2 linked regions of the Nothobranchius furzeri genome follow. The main gene of each other region encodes a partner of the protein of the gene in region 2 in a complex. Links are inferred from orthologs where the notes say so. Each region holds a gene or a part of one and is shown on either strand. Other genes may lie near its edges.

Evidence for each region.
Region 1: the proteins of ube2g2 (region 2) and aup1 are in contact, whole or in part, in a crystal structure (PDB 7LEW), measured with the Homo sapiens proteins. The link is inferred for Nothobranchius furzeri from reciprocal best matches to the Homo sapiens genes UBE2G2 and AUP1. Residues at the interface, in NP_003334.2 of Homo sapiens: Tyr13, Thr17, Pro20, Gly23, Ile24, Val25, Ala26, Gly27, Pro28, Met29, Asn30, Glu31, Glu38, Leu40, Met42, Glu45, Glu50, Phe51, Val53, Pro55, Lys156, Val159, Gln160, Ser162, Leu163, Leu165; in NP_853553.1 of Homo sapiens: Ser379, Arg382, Gln383, Leu386, Arg389, Lys390, Leu393, Tyr394, Tyr396, Ala397, Arg398, Arg400, Phe401, Thr402.

Annotation. Positions count from the first base shown.
Region 1 is NC_091741.1:29,824,341-29,828,782, reverse strand, and holds the start of aup1 (lipid droplet-regulating VLDL assembly factor AUP1), read right to left. Parts: upstream 3,049-4,442; 5' UTR 2,819-3,048; coding exon 2,778-2,818; intron 1-2,777. Other genes in the region: ctsf (cathepsin F), read left to right, coding at 4,196-4,442. UniProt on the Homo sapiens protein: Plays a role in the translocation of terminally misfolded proteins from the endoplasmic reticulum lumen to the cytoplasm and their degradation by the proteasome. Plays a role in lipid droplet formation. Induces lipid droplet clustering.
Region 2 is NC_091747.1:27,337,219-27,341,752, forward strand, and holds the start of ube2g2 (ubiquitin-conjugating enzyme E2 G2), read right to left. Parts: upstream 3,018-4,534; 5' UTR 2,814-3,017; coding exon 2,666-2,813; intron 1-2,665. UniProt on the Homo sapiens protein: Accepts ubiquitin from the E1 complex and catalyzes its covalent attachment to other proteins. In vitro catalyzes 'Lys-48'-linked polyubiquitination. Involved in endoplasmic reticulum-associated degradation (ERAD).

The sequences.
Region 1 (4,442 bases), on a different chromosome or scaffold from region 2:
GGATTTCAGCTGCAACTTTCAGTTAGTTTGGTCAGAATCTGGTGTCACCAACATAATAGCATAGACCCATCCTGCCTTTTATCAATGCTTAAGCATGGTGGTGGGGATGTAATGGTATGTGTGTGGCACTCTTGTCCCACTTTGGATCCCTTATGGCAGGTTTACACCTGGAATGACATCGATCCGCCCTGGTAGGTTGTACTGTGTTCACATCTGGGTTTCCCGTGCTCAGCTGGCCATTTTTTCAGACCTCCTTGCCTGGCGGTATGCTTTGGACTGAACTGACCCAACACACCCACTGCTGACTGACTGGCTGGCTGAAATTCGTGCCTATGTTTACAGGGAGCCTCCGATTGGTGGGCTCCTTATCACACCAAATGCTGGGGAGTAAGCATTTTTCTGACTGCAGCTAAGAGCTGCTGCTCCAGTGCGAGGACAGACTTCTTTGAAGAGCACAATCACTCGCAGTCTCAGTCAGCACACTTAAATGCACACTGACTGACATCTAAGTCGATCCAGATCGATCTTATTTTAATACGCTGGGAGTCTTTATCCTAGTTTACATGCGCATTACAAAAACGGCCTCTCAAATAAAGTTGGTTCCACTCTGGTACAGTAGGTGGCGACATGCCACTTTTCATGTCAGCATTTTTCCGGTTAGCTTATAGCAACACAAGTAGTAAACAGAGGCTGGCGGGAGTGAAGCAGATGGAATTGAAACAGGATGTGCACAATGGCTGAAGGAATGCACAACAATAACGCTGCAGCACAGCTTATTTGGTACGTACTGTCCTGTTTCATGGTGTTACAGGTGCTGCTTTGTAATGATGGTCTTGTCAGAACTTCCGCTTTCGCGATCTTGTCACTTCCGAATCGCGAGCGTTCTACCGGTTTATTTCGGCTGAACCATTTACATGCAGAATGTAATCTGATTGCTACTGCATCATCTGGGTTCTTCAGCTCGATAAGAACCAGCTCACCTTCAGCCCGACTAACGCGTTCACGTGCATTTTAAAAATTCGGCATTGTTTTGCAAAAATGGCTAGAGAGATCAGGAAGCAACATCAGAGTCTCCAAAAGCAACACTGCTCACGGCCACCTTTGTTTACTTATGAAGGGACACCACAGACTTCTCCACATGTCTTTTGCCCCTCCCGTGTGCTCAGAGATTTCTACATTCTCAACAAGGCCGATTGTGACTGGGCTGATGCTACCAAGACCAGACTGGGCCAAGTACCCTTGGATGTCCACCTCTGCCCAATACTAGTCCCTGCAGTCAACAGCCGGGACCTTCTTGACAGGGCCAACCCAGGTGTGAAAACTACATTAATCCCACCTGGGCCTGGTTTAAACACCACAGCCTAAATGAGTACTGTTGGGATGTGGTGGAACTGGAGATCATCATCATGATGATGTCATCATGTCAATACGGACCAGAACCTCTGAGGAATGTTCCAACAACTCGTTTATTTAATGGCACACAGAATTTAGGCAGTTCTGGAGGCAAAGGGGTTGAACCCAGCCCTAGCAAGGTGGAACTAAGGAAGTGAGCCGGTGAGAGCACTAGAATTTTAATGCAGTGTTTGATAGAAAAAATAACGAAACTGAAATGCGTGACAGAAACAAAGTAGAAGGGTTTAAAATGTTTTACAGTGTTGGCTAGTCTGTACTGCGTCTACAGAAACAAAAACATGTTTGTGCGTCCTTTACAAATCTTTTAAATGTTTACAATCCCACTTAAAGAGCAAGTCACCCCCTACCAGAGAATTACTCCGCTCCCTCTTCCTGTTTGAAAAATGCAACAAATGCTGTTGCCTCGCAGACCGAGAGCGTGGAGCCGCTAACAAATACACACACAGGCTCACAACGACATTGTGACATCATATGGTACCAGCTAACATTCTAAGGTACCACTTAGCCAATATCGATGGCAGATTTAAATTCAAATGCAGTGCAGAGTTTTTACCTGACAACGGCACAACACTGACAGTTTTAGGCAGAAAATTAAAATTTTAACTAAAATGCACTAAAGTGAAAAACTATTTACGTGTCTGCAGCACGATTAGACACGCATTTATATAGTCTACCAGAAAAAAAGTTCATTTGGGGGTGACTTGCTCTTTAATCAATGCTCATGAGAAACCACCCAGTGTTAGAGATATTTTTAACTTTCACTTTCAATACTTTACCATACTTGTCACTACTGGCATGAACTTGTCTGACAGTAATGATTTAACAGGCACTAAGGGGCTAACTTTACCCACATTCAGCTAAGCGACCATACTTCACTGCATTTTTTACTTAACAAAGGGACTTATTAATTACACTAACTACAGCGCCGATGCGAGTGTTTGAGAAAATAAAAAATTACTTTTAATAGGCACTTAACATTACACATCTCATTTGAGTGTAGTGAAATGAGGTCTACGTGTTTCTAGCAACACGTTTCGTTAACCTCTACCACCAGCAGCCTAATTAGCTCCTGTTTCGAGAACAGTTGTGTTATATGTTCTAAACGTATACCGCTACTGGAGATCCTTCCTGCCAACAGCCAACAGCCATTGTAATATACAACAACTCTTTGATCACTTGATTATTATTATTCTGAGCAACTACATCAATCAATTTCCCTCTGGGATTAATAAAGTATTTTTGAATTGAATTAGCCAAAAAATATACATACATAAATACATTAGCAATTTAAAGTTAAGAGAATCAGTAACAGCGCCAACAATGCAGCCAGCCGTTCGCTTGTCCACCATTGTTGGCTGACTTACCGACGAAAGTCAAACATGTCCTCAATCCCCCGCGTCTCCATGTCTGCCTGTCGGACTTTGGTAAAAGCTAATGCTAAGAGTACAGCCTGATTTTAAAAAGCAGACCAGTCATAACGTTTACGGCAGTACGCTGGTCATGCGCGGGGTAAACTAGCAGCTAATTTGTGTTATTGTTTAGCCAACAGACTCGACTAACTGTGAAATATAACACGCAGCATATGAAAGCTATCCTAAAAGGTTAGCATAACGGTTATCAACAGATGTTTCTTCCTGTGGTGCAAATACACTTCCGGTTTGCACCTTCTAGTATAAAAGCGCCATTTCTTGAAACGTTCTTAACTAATATAGAGAAACGTTCATTTTGAGCATGTTAGCAGTAATCACAGTCTGCGTCTATTTTTCCTCTCTTTTCTGTGATTAATGGCTGAGTTGAACAATGCCAAACGCCAGATGCATCTAGTCATCACTATTGCTTTCAAAATAAGGGCCGAAACATTTAGTTTGTCTCTCGTATATGTACAGTCTATGGTCTCTCTCTAGTGTTAAAATTTGATTACTTTAGACAGTGAAACAATATTATCAGAAACATTTAAATCCAATCTAAAATTCACTTTATGGCATATAGTATGATTTCCTCCATAATTTCTGCTCCCTTAAAATAACTTATTAAATTATTATATTATAATAACTTACAGTTTATTGTATTGTACTGTAAAATATGTATTTTTGTACAAGCTAATCAATCTTAAATTACCTCACAGACACTGTCAAAGCACACATCAGTACTTTTGATTTCAGTTATGTTTATTTATGTAGCATATGATTGAAGTATAATGATAATAAAATGTTTGATTCATGGCGTAAGGCAAAGCGGAAAATAGTTTTTACAGCCCAGTTCATTTGCGTTCATTTTCTTCTTCGTTGCTGGGAGCGTGATTTGGAATCATAGGATGTCCAAGGAAGATCCCGCCTTTCTCGCCTCTGATTGGCTAACAGGGCTCTCTTACGATTGGCTATTTCATTTAATAGCAAACCGTCTTCCCTGCTAAGTGCAGAGTGCAGACTGTCATCCTGCCACCAGCAGAACAGCTGTTTTGGGTTCTGTAAAGAAAATGCGAACTTAGCGCTACAATAACCATTCTGTTCTGGTTTGCAAAATAGTTTTTTTTTCTGTTTTTAAGGGACCCATGAGGTGACCGGAAGAGGATGAGACTTGGAAGCCGTGTCTAACAAGCCCCTCCCACTAAACTCCTCCTCTAATCCAGCCCAGTTTGTTTGACAACAAACGTACATCTTGTGTAACCGCTGCTGTTAAACTAATAACGATTTTGTTTCCACGAAAACAAATAAGACGCTTTAAACTGAGTCCCGACTGAACGTCGGACCCTTTTCTTTTTGACAGCACAAGAGAAAACATCATGCGGGTCAGGATGCGCTGCTCTCCGCTAATCCCCTGGCTAGTGTTGGCCTCTGTACTGAGCTCGGTGATCGGGTTAGGTGAAGACCTAGACTGGCCTCTGTTCGGGCCCCCCGGCACTCCTATCCGGCTGCAAGAGTCCGACCTGGGATTAAAAAAGGCCCTGCTTTTCGCTGAGGAGCGGTACAACCATGGCTCCAACGCTATACACCTCCGCAGGGTCAGCCGGCTGATCTCCGCCAATAAAC
Region 2 (4,534 bases):
TCTCAGTCATTTACATACAGAAAGGCCCTCATTACCCATATCTGGTCATGCTACGTCCTCAGCATTTGAGGGGATTCCTGCGTTCTACCCAGAAAAGAAAAAAACTTTGTTGCGAGATTGAGACACTCGCTGCCGAAATACAAACGAATCAAACAAGTAGCAGAGGTTATAAACGCGGTCTGGACAGAGGAGAGGTTCCTGTCAGGAATCAATAAAAACTTTAATATGATTAATCATAGAGTAGCGGGTTCTCATTTACATTTTTCATTTAAGGAATCGTTCTGGATGGAGTTAGTTTTATTAGGGAATGTCTGAGTGCAGCCTCTTAGCTATCTTTCAGTGTGGTTTACCGTGACAACACGTGTGTAATTGGGGAGCAGAGGAGGTTCTCGTAGATGTAAAATAGAACATGGACTGGAATCGGACTTGTGCGGTTTATCTGTCGCTCCACAAAGGGCCCCAGATCCCAGCATCGCTCCAGACGGATCTGCTATCAGCGTCTCAAGGAGAAGCGTTTCCTCCAGAGAGGAGCTCTGACAGATCCTTCATAATATTATGGAAACAATCTTTTATCTAACGCATCTCAAGCAGAATCACGAGGCGTTTCACAACAAAAGAAAAAATAAAATAATAAAATAAAATATTACCTAAAAACTATTAAGAACCCCTCCCTGGGCTGCCACCTTACCGTGGTGGAGGGGTTTGAGTGTCCCAGTGATCCTAGGAGCTATGTTGTCTGAGGCTTTATGCCTCTGGTAGGGTCACCCGCAGTAAACAGGTCCTAGGTGAGGGATCAGACAAAGAGCAGCCCATAGACCTCTTATGATGAATACTATAAACGGAAAAAGTGTTCCCTCACCCGGACGCGGGTCACCAGGGCACACCTCTAGAGCCAGGTCTGGAGATGGGGCATGCCGGTGAGCGCCTGGTGGCCGGGCTTTCACCCATGGAGGCTGGTTGATCAAAGAGGAAATGTGGGTCCCCATTCCCATTGGCTCACCACTTGTGGGAGGGGTGAAAGGGGTTGGGTGCAATGTGTGAACGGTGGTGGCTGAAGGCAAGGACCTTGGTGGTTTGATCCTCAGCTACAAAAGCTGGCTCTCGGTACGTGGAATGTCACCTCTCTGGTGGGGGAGGAGCCTGATTTGGTGTGTGAGGTTGAGAGGTTTTGTGCAGATATAGTCGGACTCACCTCAACACATGGCTCTGGCTCAGGAACCAGTTTCCTTGAAAGGGGCTGGACACGCTACCACTCTGGAGTTGCCCCAACTGAGAGGCGCCGAGCAGGGGTGCCTCTGCTTTTTACAGACGGTGTGGTCCTGCTGGCGTCATCAGAAAGTGATCTCCAGCTCTCAATAGAGTAGTTTGCAGCCGACTGTGAAGCAGCTGGGATGAGAATCAGCTCCTCTAAATCTGAGACCATGGTCTTGAGTCAGAAAAGGGTAGAATGCCTTCTCCAGGTCAGGGATGAAGTCCTGCCCCAAGTGGAGGAGTTTGGAGTCTTGTTCACGAGTGAGGGAAAGATGGAGCGCGAGATCGACAGGCAGATTGGTGCTGCGACTGCAGCACTGTGAACGTTGTACCGATCTGTCGTGGTGAAGAGAGAGCTCAGCCAGAAGGCAAAACTCTCAATTAACCGGTCGATCTATGTTCCTACCCTCACCTACGGTCACAAGCTTTGGGTAGTGACTGAAGAATGAGATTGCGGATGCAAGCAGCTGAAAATAGTTTTCTCTGCAGGGTGGCTGGGCTCTCCCTTAGAGATAGGGTGAGAAGTAGTCGAGTGTGGAAAGTGGTCAGTCTGTCCTCCAGCAGTCTAAGCCTATAGCAGCATAACTACAGAGATAACTCTGGATAACCTGGCCTTTTGGATGGAGGCATGTTGGAGGCAGGGCAGGATATGTGCATAAGTATGGTTGATAAATGAGCCCCCTGGACTTTCCAGTCTGTTCCACTTTGGAATTAACTTCCTTTAGGTTCACATCGTATCACCAGTCTGGGCACATTTCACAAGCAGCTGAAGACTCTTATACTATCCAAACTACTTCTTTTTGTGATAAGTGCTGCCTAAATAAAATTCACACATCCCGAGGGTTTGAGGGCCATTCTTATGTGTCCACCTTGTTTTGTGTCAGAGATCAGATGATTCAAAAACTCTACCTTTGCCTTGAGTCTGGGGGATTTGTGCTGTCTGTCACTGAGGCAGGCCCGTATTCAACCGTAATTCACTCATTACCCAGACAGTTCATCCGTAAACTGAATCATCAGTGAGACCTACAGAACCGAACACCTCTACTTCTGAACTGATTCCTTCCGTTTACTCGTGTATTAAACTCCTGACTCTCACACAGCTACCAGGTCCTGGTCCTCATCAGAACGTCAATCCCACTAGAAGCTTTTTCTGGACGAGATTGATAACAGATTAAATAATCTCTCGAGAAATTATACTAGCAGCACGACATATGCCGAGTCACTCAAACTGCCCAGGTGATTTGCTTTTTAACGGACTTCTAGTGTAAGACACCTCATAAAGAAAGTAAAGATTAAAAGAGACCGATTATATCATGGAGTTTGGTGCAGCGGAACTCCACACAGCCGCTTATTAGCCTAGCTGCTAATGCTAATGGCTATCAGTGTTGGTTAGCGATTACAAAACGTTACTCACGTTTATATTCGGCCATGAGCCGCTTCAGCGCAGTGCCCGCCATCGTGTCTGCTAGAGAAAGAAAAAACTTAAACTGGAAATCAAAATTAAACAACTCCGAGCAGCGCCGCCGTATTGGACTCGAAACGCTCAACAGGAGCATGCGCATTGCAGTGGGAGCAGGGGGCCCCAACTGTGACCTGACCGCAGTTTCAGGTCGACTGCAGATTCAGGCTTGTACTGTTTTTGAGAAAGTGAACTCTAACTAGTAACTGCAACTGCAGATTCAAGACTAACTGCAGATTCTTTTCAGTATGTTCTAAAGGGAAACAGGCTTCAACACAAACGGTCGTTTTCCACTTGATCCTAGAGCTCAACCAGTGTTTATTTATTAGAGCGTAATATTGTTTTGGACGGCAAAAAGTGCAGGGGTCAAAACTTGACTTTGGAAAAAGTGGGGGTGGGGGGCATGTCTGAATCTGTGGTCTCTGGGTCTGCAGGTCTGGATACACGTCAGACTTCTCCAAGTACACCTGACTGCATCCCGGAGATCGGGGCGGGGTCAAACGTTTAGAGGTGGGCGGATGACTTCTCCCCACCATGCACCAGGACGCCAGAGAACATAGTGCTGTTCTGTGGTGTCCTGTTACACATCCGGTCCAAGATTTAGTGTGTGTGTGTGTGTGTGTGTGTGTGTGTGTGTGTGTGTGTGTGTGTGTGTGTGTGTGTGTGTGTTACAGGTTTTATTAACTTATTGTCGATACATTCAAAAAATACATTCAATATATCCATGGATCACATTTTACAGTTGTTTACAATTGCAATAACATATATGCAACATTAGGAAACTATTAAACAAAAACACAAGAAATAAACAAAAAACTGACGAAAACATAAATAACTTAACACTTAGGGGTCTGCTGTGTCTAAGTTGAAATGATGAAATAAGTTCATGGTCTTTGTTAGTTTGTTGTTCTTCTTTTTTAATTTTTCAATGCTGTTCCAATATTTCATAATGTCTGCAATTCTGAAATTATAGAAGGAGGGGATACTTTTCTGAAAAATCATTTTATGTAAATAATATTTTGCTAAAATAATGACTAAGTTAATGATGTATTTTTCATTGGATGATAGATGAGGGTTTGTAACAATGAGAAGTATTTCATATTTGCTTAAAGAAATATTTTTTGTAACTTTTTGGAAATGTATCTTTGTAAATGGAACCAAAACAAAGTTACATGAAAGCAATCAACAAAAACATGTTCAATAGTTTCTCCCTTACAACCACAAAAAGTACAGATGTCAGAAAATGTTGGAAAAAAATACAGATGTTTGCTTTTGACGGGTAATATCTATGAACAATTTTGAATAAAACTTCTTTTATCTTATTCACAATAACATATTGGTGAGGTAGCAGAAAGATCCTGTTCCAGAGTTTTGTATTCATCAAAGTCCATCGATGTTTACATATCGGGGTTGAGAAAGGATCAATTACTTTTCTGATAACAGAATTATTACATTTCTTATCTGTGATTGGAATCCCAGCGATAGTTGGAGGTCTGACTGCTGCAGACAAGATAATGTTTGATTGTATGGTCTGTGCTAAAAAGAAAATACAAGCAGGGATGGATTTAATTACCATGTTATACTCTTCTTGTGAAGTATTAATATTATGTTTTTCTAAGAAGTCTTTGTGGGATAATGTTTCGCCAGTAGTATTTAGTAGATTATTCACAGTGTTTACATTATTTAATGACCAATTGTGTAGAAAGAGTGTTTTATTTTTGTTTACAATATATGTATTGTTCCAAATAATACAATTGTGAGGTGAGAAGTTGTGTTTAAAGATAAGATTCCAACATAATAAAGCTTGTTTATGAAAATTACTTC